Coturnix japonica: one gene and its partner. The protein of the gene in region 1 purifies or fractionates together with the protein of each later gene. This does not show direct contact. Links are inferred from orthologs where the notes say so. Each region holds a gene or a part of one and is shown in the gene's direction. Other genes may lie near its edges.

What was found. Proteins that work in one complex are often made in the same cells at the same time.
Region 2: the proteins of PSME3 (region 1) and MRPS34 purify together in Homo sapiens (co-immunoprecipitation; 3 studies listed by BioGRID and IntAct, counting the BioPlex papers as one, with this or other methods). This does not show direct contact. The link is inferred for Coturnix japonica from reciprocal best matches to the Homo sapiens genes PSME3 and MRPS34.

What each region holds. Positions count from the first base shown.
Region 1 is NC_029542.1:4,666,596-4,671,390, forward strand, and holds the end of PSME3 (proteasome activator complex subunit 3), read left to right. Parts: intron 1-217; coding exon 218-330; intron 331-512; coding exon 513-581; intron 582-1,030; coding exon 1,031-1,098; intron 1,099-1,242; coding exon 1,243-1,297; intron 1,298-1,560; coding exon 1,561-1,647; intron 1,648-2,154; coding exon 2,155-2,235; 3' UTR 2,236-3,910; downstream 3,911-4,795. UniProt on the Homo sapiens protein: Subunit of the 11S REG-gamma (also called PA28-gamma) proteasome regulator, a doughnut-shaped homoheptamer which associates with the proteasome. 11S REG-gamma activates the trypsin-like catalytic subunit of the proteasome but inhibits the chymotrypsin-like and postglutamyl-preferring (PGPH) subunits.
Region 2 is NC_029529.1:12,398,137-12,402,596, reverse strand, and holds MRPS34 (28S ribosomal protein S34, mitochondrial), read left to right. Parts: upstream 1-1,754; 5' UTR 1,755-1,815; coding exon 1,816-2,133; intron 2,134-2,199; coding exon 2,200-2,242; intron 2,243-2,918; coding exon 2,919-3,190; 3' UTR 3,191-3,604; downstream 3,605-4,460. Other genes in the region: putative oxidoreductase GLYR1, read right to left, coding at 1,102-1,139. UniProt on the Homo sapiens protein: Required for mitochondrial translation, plays a role in maintaining the stability of the small ribosomal subunit and the 12S rRNA that are required for mitoribosome formation.

The sequences.
Region 1 (4,795 bases):
TCATCTAAGCTCTGTATTTTCTGTCTTCTTTCCTCTGTGGCAATCATGGCTATCCCATGCCCAATTTCCCCCTTCCTCACAGGTTAGCTGTATCCTGGCTCAGTGTCCACTGCTAGCCTTTGTAGGAGACATAATGCTCAGGTGGACATTTGGTCTGATCTTCTGGTGTACCTGTTCCCACGTGGGGCTGATGTATTTGTCTTCTTTGCCACTGTAGGTACCAAAGTATTTGTGATGCCCAATGGGATGCTGAAGAGCAACCAGCAGCTGGTGGACATCATTGAGAAAGTGAAACCAGAGATCAGGCTGCTTATCGAGAAGTGTAATACGGTGGGTGTGGGCCACAGCCCTGAGTTCTGGAGCAGATGGGGGCACTAGAATACTTTTGCTCCTTTGCTTGTGTGAAGGTTCTCTGAGAAAAGGAGCAGGTTCCTCTGTATTTTATAAATGACAGTGGTATGAATCCTGTAAAAATCTTGACAGTGATCTATATAGTGATCTTTCTATTGCAGGTCAAAATGTGGGTGCAACTTCTAATTCCCAGGATAGAAGATGGAAACAACTTTGGTGTTTCTATTCAGGTAAGATATTGTTGGCTATGTTGTGGTCTTGTATTATAGTGTGTTATCTTGCATTTTGATATCTGATGTAGTAAATTAGTTTGTTTCTCATCAGACTGTTGCTGTTTTCTTTTAAGGCCCATCTCTCTACCCTTCTCCCCTTTTTTCCCTTTTCCCTTTCCCAGGGTGTGGGTCTGTGTGTACTGCTGCCCTGCTAGTTACGGAACCGGGCTGAACCAGCCTGTAAACCACTGACAGGCTGTATGCCCTACTGTGGCAGGGAACTATGCCCCCAAGAGCATGTACCTTTAGGTTTCTTCCAAATCATTTGATGGTATCCAATGTCTGCAGTGGTGGAGTTGGTTTAGGTTTTAAGATCCAAATCTAAGCTTGACATGGAACTGCTACGACCTGGTACTTCTAGAGCGGCGATGGGCAGTTTCAGTATCATGAAAAGGCTTCCTTTGCAGGAGGAAACAGTTGCTGAACTTCGAACTGTGGAGAGTGAGGCAGCATCCTATCTGGACCAGATTTCTAGGTATGAAGGAACAGAGCCCTTTCTGGGAGTGCTGCTGGGAAAAGGAACCTTTTGGGGAAGGTCCTCCAGCTTTGCTGGGGCAGATTGTGCCTGGAAGAATCTTGGTACTGTTTGTCTGATTTGTAGTCTCCATTTTCCTAACAGATATTATATCACAAGAGCCAAGTTGGTTTCCAAAATAGCTAAATACCCTCATGTGGTAAGTAAATGGGGAAGTGGTGCTTTACAGTTTACATGCTGTTGCTTTCTGGGACTCTTCAGGCTACTTCATCACTGTCTTAATTTTGAGCTAGGGGCCCTGTGGGAAAAGGGGGGGCTATATAAGAATATGCAGAATATCTTCATTAGAGAAGAGGAAACTGAAAGGGGGGATTCCTTTGTAAAAGGTAGGACCTTCAGTTGATACCATGTATCAAGCACACCTGAGCTCAGGCCTCTTAGCCATGCATCTGTTTTCTGCAGGAGGACTACCGGCGCACAGTGACAGAGATTGATGAGAAGGAGTATATTAGTCTGCGCCTGATCATTTCAGAGCTGAGGAATCAATATGTAAGTGAAAAAACAGAGCTCTCACTGGCTCCCCACATAATAGAAAGAGTCCTTTTGATCCTTCTACTGCTCTCCTCTTTCCCTATGATTACAGCTAGTCCTGGAGAGAAGCCTATCTTTTCCCCAGTCTGCTTTGGCTCTAACAAGAGCTAAGTGTTTATTGGCTCCCCACCATCTCCCAGAGATGTGGATGTTTCCAACTTGAGTATTCATGGGAGCTGAGTGCAAAATATTCAGTACACTGCTCTAGGAGCGCTGCTGCAATCCTAAATTCTTCAGGCAGTACAGACCATTCTTTTGATGTCTTCTCTTTTTTGTATTGCACACATTAGCTTCTCTAAAGTGTTGCGGAAGAAAGCACTTATTTTAAGCAGAAATGTGATTGCAGGCAGGGGTTGAAAGTAGTACCAGGATGAGCTGTGAAACTGTTCAAGTCAGTGGTTGTGAAACCTGAATGCTAAGTGACATCCCCCCTTCATTTCTGAGTTGTGTTCTCCCTTTTTGCAGGTCACTTTGCATGACATGATCCTTAAAAACATTGAGAAGATCAAGAGGCCTCGGAGCAGCAATGCTGAGACCCTTTATTAAGTGTCAACGTTTGAACTTGAGAACTGTTCAGTCAACTAAAGACCGTCATTGCCTTGGTTTGTTACATGACTATCGAGATGGGAAACTGGCTGGAAATAGTTTTGCATTCTTAGTTAAAATCTAAAGAAATTATCACCTAGTTTTGTGATTGGTTTTATTCAGGTCTCAGGAGCTCTCCCTCCCTCTAGTATATCTGGTAAAGAAAAAGGCCTTGCTGCTTTGGGATGCCCTAGAGGCTACTGCAGAGTGAGAGCAGAGCGCCAGCCAGGCAGGAACATTCCTTCATGCCTTTCTTCCTACCTGAGTAGGAGCTACAGTAGAGATCAGGCCCTTGTCTTGTCCCATCTCTTGGCTGGAGACTTCTCTGTGGTCTCTGTGAATGGGGCAGACCATCTTCAGCTCAAGACTAAGCCTGGATGGTGGTGCAGTGGCTGAAAGCCAGCTCTCTTCACTGCTGGCTGCAGCTGAGCCCCTCTGCCTATGCTCTGCACTGACTTATTTGCAAAGACAGAGGATCCTGCCCCTTCTGGGTTGGTGGCCACAGCCACGTTGCAGTGCCACTGAGAGGCCTGTAATCGTTTTGTGGCTTTTTTGACTCAGTAGAGCGTGGCCCATCTGTCTCTGCCTTGGTTCTGAGCGGGTCAATGCAGAGCTGAAGGTTGTGCTTGTCACTAGGGCTGATTGCTGTACTGGCTGGTTGTGAGCGCATATGGCTTCTGCTCCAGTCTGCAAATTGACTAGAGCCACTTTCTTGGTTAAAACCAACTTCATGGGAGTCTTCATGCCTCCTTGGTATGAGCTGCTTTTGCCCAGGCTGAGAAAGGAGGAGCCAGAGGTGTGATGCTAAACTCCTGATAGCTTCCATGTGTGGTCAGACTGCAACCTGCTTTCTCCTGGCAGTGCTTCCTGCTGTCCAGGCGCAGCAGGCCAGCTGTGACAATAGTGCTTGGGGTGAGGATGGCCAATTCCTACCTGGTACCGTTGCAAACCTTGTATTCTTTCCCCTGCAAAAGAGCACCCTTGTGTGCCTATTGACTCCTCTAAGCTGCTGGAACATTTCATGGTCCATTACAAACCCCTTTGGAAATGATTGGTTGTGTTGCGTCAGTTTTTGTGTGTGGGAAGTGATCCCATAATGCTGCAGGCTCCAAATTTTTTATTTATAATATTTCTACTTAAGTCCCATATTCAGGGAATGTTAAATCATTTATTTCTGGAACCTCACTGTTTCCCAGGTCTTGTTGTTACACCCATATATTCTTATTGTGCAGTAGCCTTAATAGTTGTGTTAACTTCATTGTAACAACAGTGACAAATGGAATGAAATTTCTCTCCTTTTTTTTTTTTTTTAAAACTATTTTTTTTCTGCTTCCACCTCTAAGAGCCATGTTGTCTCTTGCTGGTTTCCTAGGGATTTCCCCAGAGTGTGGAGGGCCACCAGCCCTTGCTGTAGACTCTTCTGTTGTTGTTTGTAGTAAGTCAACTCTTAGTCTTCCCGCTAATAAATATTCTGTAACAAACCAACTGCGTTGTAGCTGCTGTCCTGGAGCAGCACTCCCCCTTGTGTTTCTTTGTATTGATTTATTTTAATTTGTTGAGCTCTCCTTGCCAGATGAAAGTATGTAAACTTTTACCATGTCAAGAAATTAAAATAAGGTACTTTGAATTCTTTTAAGACAGCCCCTTGTCTGTGATACTGAGCTCTGCAGTGTTGGTGTCTGTTCTCGGTCGTGCATTTCACACATCCAGTGGTTCCTTCCATTCGTTCTCCTCATTCTTTTTGACTTGATACTGCTATGTGTGTGCTGCTTTGTAGATTGTTTCTGTTCCTTCAGCATACTTTATATTAAGCACAAGGGCTTGAATTTGATGAGATCTGCCCTGTTCTTGCCTTTTGTGTTGTACTCAGGCCATCTTGGCTCACTCAGGTACAACTGATTTGCATGATGGTGTTCTAAGAGCTGCAACCCACTCCACGGCTGCTCTTGCATCTGTGCAGAGCAGATGTGTGCAGTGTCATAGGACATGCATCTGAATGTTGTACCTGACACGTGTATTCAGTGCATGGTCCATTACTCTCTTGATGTTACTGTGCATGCAGTACAAAGGGGACATGGGCTAAAGCATCCTCAGCGTTACCCAGAGGCGTGCTTTTGTTCTCATTCCTGTTCCTCAGCACATGTGGCATGCAGCCTGGGCTGCAGGGACCTGCTCAGCGGTGTTCAGCCAAGTGCCATTCATTCCCCAGCACCCTGTCTGGGAGCTGCTGGTGTCCAGCCTGTTCTGCTCTGTGACAGGGAGGCTGTGTCTCTTACAGCTTGGTTGCCACTAGGTGGGGGCTGTGATCCAGCCTGAGAAGTGCTGGGAGGCCGGGTGAGACCTGGCCAACCTGTCCTCAAAAGTCTTCAGCCACCAAGAAGAAGCACAAGCGGCAGCTGCTGCTCAGCTGCATTCTGCCTCCTGCTGGGCCATTGGCTGCGAGGTGCTTCCTGTGGAGTGGGAAAATACTGATGGTGCCCACACCTCTTGGTGAAGATGGGTAAGGAAATGACAGCACAGG
Region 2 (4,460 bases), on another chromosome or scaffold:
GAACTTTAACCAAGCTCACAGCTCATACCCGATGTTTCCATCCCTGTGCTAAACAAGATACTTAAAAGCTTTTCATATGTTATTGTCTCGGTGCTATAGATCTGCTGCAATGGTCCCGGGGCTGGCAGCTGCCCAGGCCATCACATACAAAACTAAAGCAGGATGATCTGCATTCCAACACCAAGAGCAGTGCTGCCCAAATGCCTGTTTGAAGCAAACGGAGCAGGAAGGAAGATTGATTTACTTTCTTATACATGTATTTAACAGCTTCACAGCACTGTCAGCTATTCAGATGAGAAGCTGCAGCTGTCCCGCAGCCAGGAGCAAACCTTCCTTCTGACCCGAGGGAAACACACAAAGCTGCGTGTGGGGATGAGCCACTTGTTGCAGGCCCCAGCACGGAGCCCTAACCCGGCTGCTGCAGCGGAGCCGAAGGAATCCCCTCAGTGCTCCCGATCGGGAAATACAAAAGCACTGCGAGTATTGGGGGGAAACTGGAGTGACAAAGGGACGGAGCGTCAGTGAGCGTCAATGAGCACATCACACCCTAACACATCCCAACCCATCCTGACCTGCAAGACAAACAAAGAGCCTCTTTCCCGTGTTATTGCGCTGCCTGCGGTTCCCAAATCGCCGCTGTTCCGTCACTCGCTCCTTTTCCTCCGCTCCCTCCCGGGCTGATGCCCCGTTTCCATCCGGTCCCGTTGCCGCCCCTCGGTCCCGCACGTCGCCCCGCGCCGTGTCCGCTCCCCTGGACGCGCTGGGCCCGAGCCCGGCAGCAGCTCCGCCATCAGCTCCGCCATCCCCGCGGGCGGCGTCACAGGAACGGAGACACTCGGCGACCACGGAACCCGCCGGGACCCACCGGATCCCGCCCCTCCCGGTGCAGCGCGGCCTCGCCTGGCACCGCCCGGCCGGGCCCCACCGCCGCGCTCGGCCGAACCGGGCGCAGCCCCACCGAGCCCCGCCCGCTGCTCCGAGCGGAGCCTCCGTGCCGCTCCATCGGGCACCGCGGAGGAGCTTCACTCCATCGGACCGGACCGGACCGGATCGGATCGGATCGGACCGCGCTCCGCCCGCAGCGCAGCGCACTGAACTCACCACACCAGGTCTCCGAGCCTCAGACTCACGGCCGCCATCTTACCGACACCGCGCAATGCACCACGGGACAGCACAGCACCACGAGGGGCGGGGGCGGCGGAGACGGTGATTGGACGGTAGCGGTCACGTGGGCGGGAGGGCTGTCAGCGGCTGCAACCGGGGGGTGGGAGCGAGGGGAACGGCGGGACCGGGACATGGGACGGGACAGCACCGGGACACCGGGACACCGACAGCACGGACAGGCCGCCATCGGGGCCGGATGGTGCTTTGGTTCCCGGCTGCTCGCCCTGACGGCCGGTTCACGTTGAGCACTCCACTCGTTAATTCAAGCAGCCACGTTCTCCCGGTGCCGCCCCGCGGGCAGCGGCTGTTGTCGGTACAGACACGTGGAGCCGTTTCCCGTGGCTGTGCCCGGCTCCTCCCGCCCGTCGCTGCCCGGTACCGGTCGCCATGGACACGGCGCCATGTTGTTGTTGTTGTTGTTCTGATCCCGCCCGTAACAACCCGCCCCCACCGGCAGCTCCGCGCCCTGCGGGCGGGGCGGGACCCGCTTCCGGTACGGGGCCCTGGGGCGGGGCGGACTTCCGGGGGGCGCCGGAAGCGGCGGGTGGAGGCGGACGGGAACCGGGCGGGGCCACTTCCGGGGGCGGGGCCTGAAGCGGCTTCCGGAGGGCGCCGGAAGTGCCGGTAGCGGCGGGGTCGGGTTGTGGCGCCATGGGCCGTAAGAAGCTGCACCGGCCGATCGCCGCCATGGCCCGGAAGGTGCGCGAGTACCGCGCCATGAAGGAGCGGCCGCGGGACTCGCAGCGCTTCGCTCTGGACTACGAGACCATGAGGCGGCCGCTGACGCAGAAGCGGCTCCCGGTGTTGGCCTGGCGCGATGTGCGGCACGAGCAGCGTTTATTCTCGTTGCTGTGCCGGCTGCCGCTGTTCGGGTTGGGCCGCATGGTCACCCGTAAGTCGTGGCTGTGGGCGCACGACGAGCCCAGCTACTGGGTCATCACCAAGGTCCGCGCCGACTACACGGCTCAGGTAACGGGGCGGGGAGCGGGAACCGCCGTGTGACGGCACCGGAATGAACGAGCAACTTCATTGCAGGGGATGGATCACGGCAGGGCCTGGGGGCGGCTCACGTTCAGAGGTGAGGAGTCACGGCACGAGCCGAGCGGCTGTAACGGACGTTAATGGGGAACCGCAACGCTGAGCTCGGGCTGAGCTGCGGGTTGGGGTGAGGGGCTGATTCCGGACCTGGGATGGATGTAAAGTGTGAGCTGAGCACACGGGGATGGGCAGGGAAAGGAATCGGAGCAGCATTGGGGGCTCCTGGATGAGACTGTAAAGTAACTCATGGAGCTGAATGTGTGAAGTGTCCATTTCCCAACCCACTTTACATTGTGTTTATAAGTCCCGTTTATTAGAGCTTTTGAAACGTTTCTCATTCAAAGGTTTTAAAGTTGTTGAGCATTTCTGTCATTAAACTTCATAGCGTGGAGATGCTCTTATTGTTTACCATGGAAACTAATACAGAGGACAAGCTGCTCCTTGCATTACAAGTCATGACCTCTGCACAATGTGGAGCTGCTGGTCTGTGACTTTTCAGTCTGTTCCTGGTCAGATCCCAAGGTCTGCAGTGGGATCCCATAGCGCAGCACTGATGGTACCAGGGGCTCTGTTGGAATTTTCCTTTGCTACCAGGGGCTCTGTTGGAATTTTCCTTTGCCATTTCTTTCTTCAATATCTTCGTACAGGAGTTGACACTTGCTGCAGTTTCTGGAGCTGCTGAGCGTTGCCCACTAATGTTCATTGTCTTTTATCAGGTAAAACTGAAGAAGAAGACAGAGAGATTGACAAGGTCATGTATCACGACTGGCGGATGGTGCCCAAGCACGAGGAGGAGGCCTTCAAGAAGTTCACCCCGGTGCCAGAGGAGACGTGTTGGTTCCTTCCATACCCACCTCTGCTCCGAGCCATGATCATTGCTCAGTGGCAGAAAGAGGGGAAAGAAATCACAGAGGAGCCAATGCTTGATGTGCAGAGGCCTTCCCGTGTTAATGCTGCAAAGAAAGACGCCACAGGGACAGTGTTGTGAGGTCCATTAAGGTCCTGCTCTGTGTCCCGAGCTTCCCACGTGCTCTCGTTTCACAGTGGCAGTACATGACGTTACTGCAGACCCCCTTGGTACCTACAGTGGTACAGTGCATCCAACTGACCTCGTTTCCTCCCCTGGACTGTACTGTAATCTCATCTGAAAGGGAAGGTGCAGATGCATTTGGATTTTCATTTTTTTCCCCTCTTTGGTCTCAGTCAGATCCACTGTATGTTCTCTGAACTCAGAGCTCCTTCACACAGCTCCGCTGCTTGGGAGCAGTTTCATTTGCAGCTTGAAAAATCGAAGGTTTCTCATGTAGTTAAAGTCAGTCCTAAATCATGGAGGAACAACTGAGTTAAACGTGACGTTATTTTACAGACCCAAAATAAATGATTTCATGTTTCCACAGCATAATTCTAAGACAATTTGTTCTTTGGTGGGTGATTTATTTATTCAGTGCGTGGAGATCCGCATGATGGTTTGTTGGGGTCCAATTTTAGCCTTTACGATACAGGGTGAGCATCAGAATATCACTGGTGGATTTACACCTTGCAGCTGGAGGGGACTCCCCAAGAACAGCTGTGGGCCAAAGCATCTGTCCTTTATTTCCAGCACCAAGGGAAGCCTCGCTGTGCGCTGGGCACGTGGCTGGCAGGACCAGCCCTTCCTGGTCAAACAGTAAGGAACACACATCTCATTTCTGCTGACTGGGTGCCATTCTCACCACTTTAAGTGTCACCATGTTGCTAAAGGCTGCACAGAAGCCCCGGTGGCCTTTCCAGGAACAAGACATACTGACGCTTTCTGATGTTAACACATTTATTACATACAGAACAGATATGGTTTGTTGTTTGATAGCATAGGGAAAAAAGCACGGGAACGTATTCATACAGCGGTCTCTTTACAGAATGCCATCTTCAGACCAAAGAGCGGAGTTTACAGGCCTTAAGACACTTTTTAAAATCCTTTTGTAACATACAAGATACTTTACATACATCACAGTGGAGATTTGACAGGGGGTGTGTTGAAGCCAGTTCTCACCTTGCCGCCCAGCAGCCGCCACATCCCGACAGGAGCCGACAGCAGGGGCTGACTCTGCTGAGCTGGAGCCGCCCCTGTGTCGTGTGCTTCTCTTGGAGGACACCACGAACCAAACTGGGAAGGAACCCTTGGGCCCAAGAGTGGTTGGTTTCCTTCTGTTGCCACGGACCAGGGGGTGACAAAAGTCTGAATATTGTCACTTCTACCACTAAAACCAGATAAAGAACAA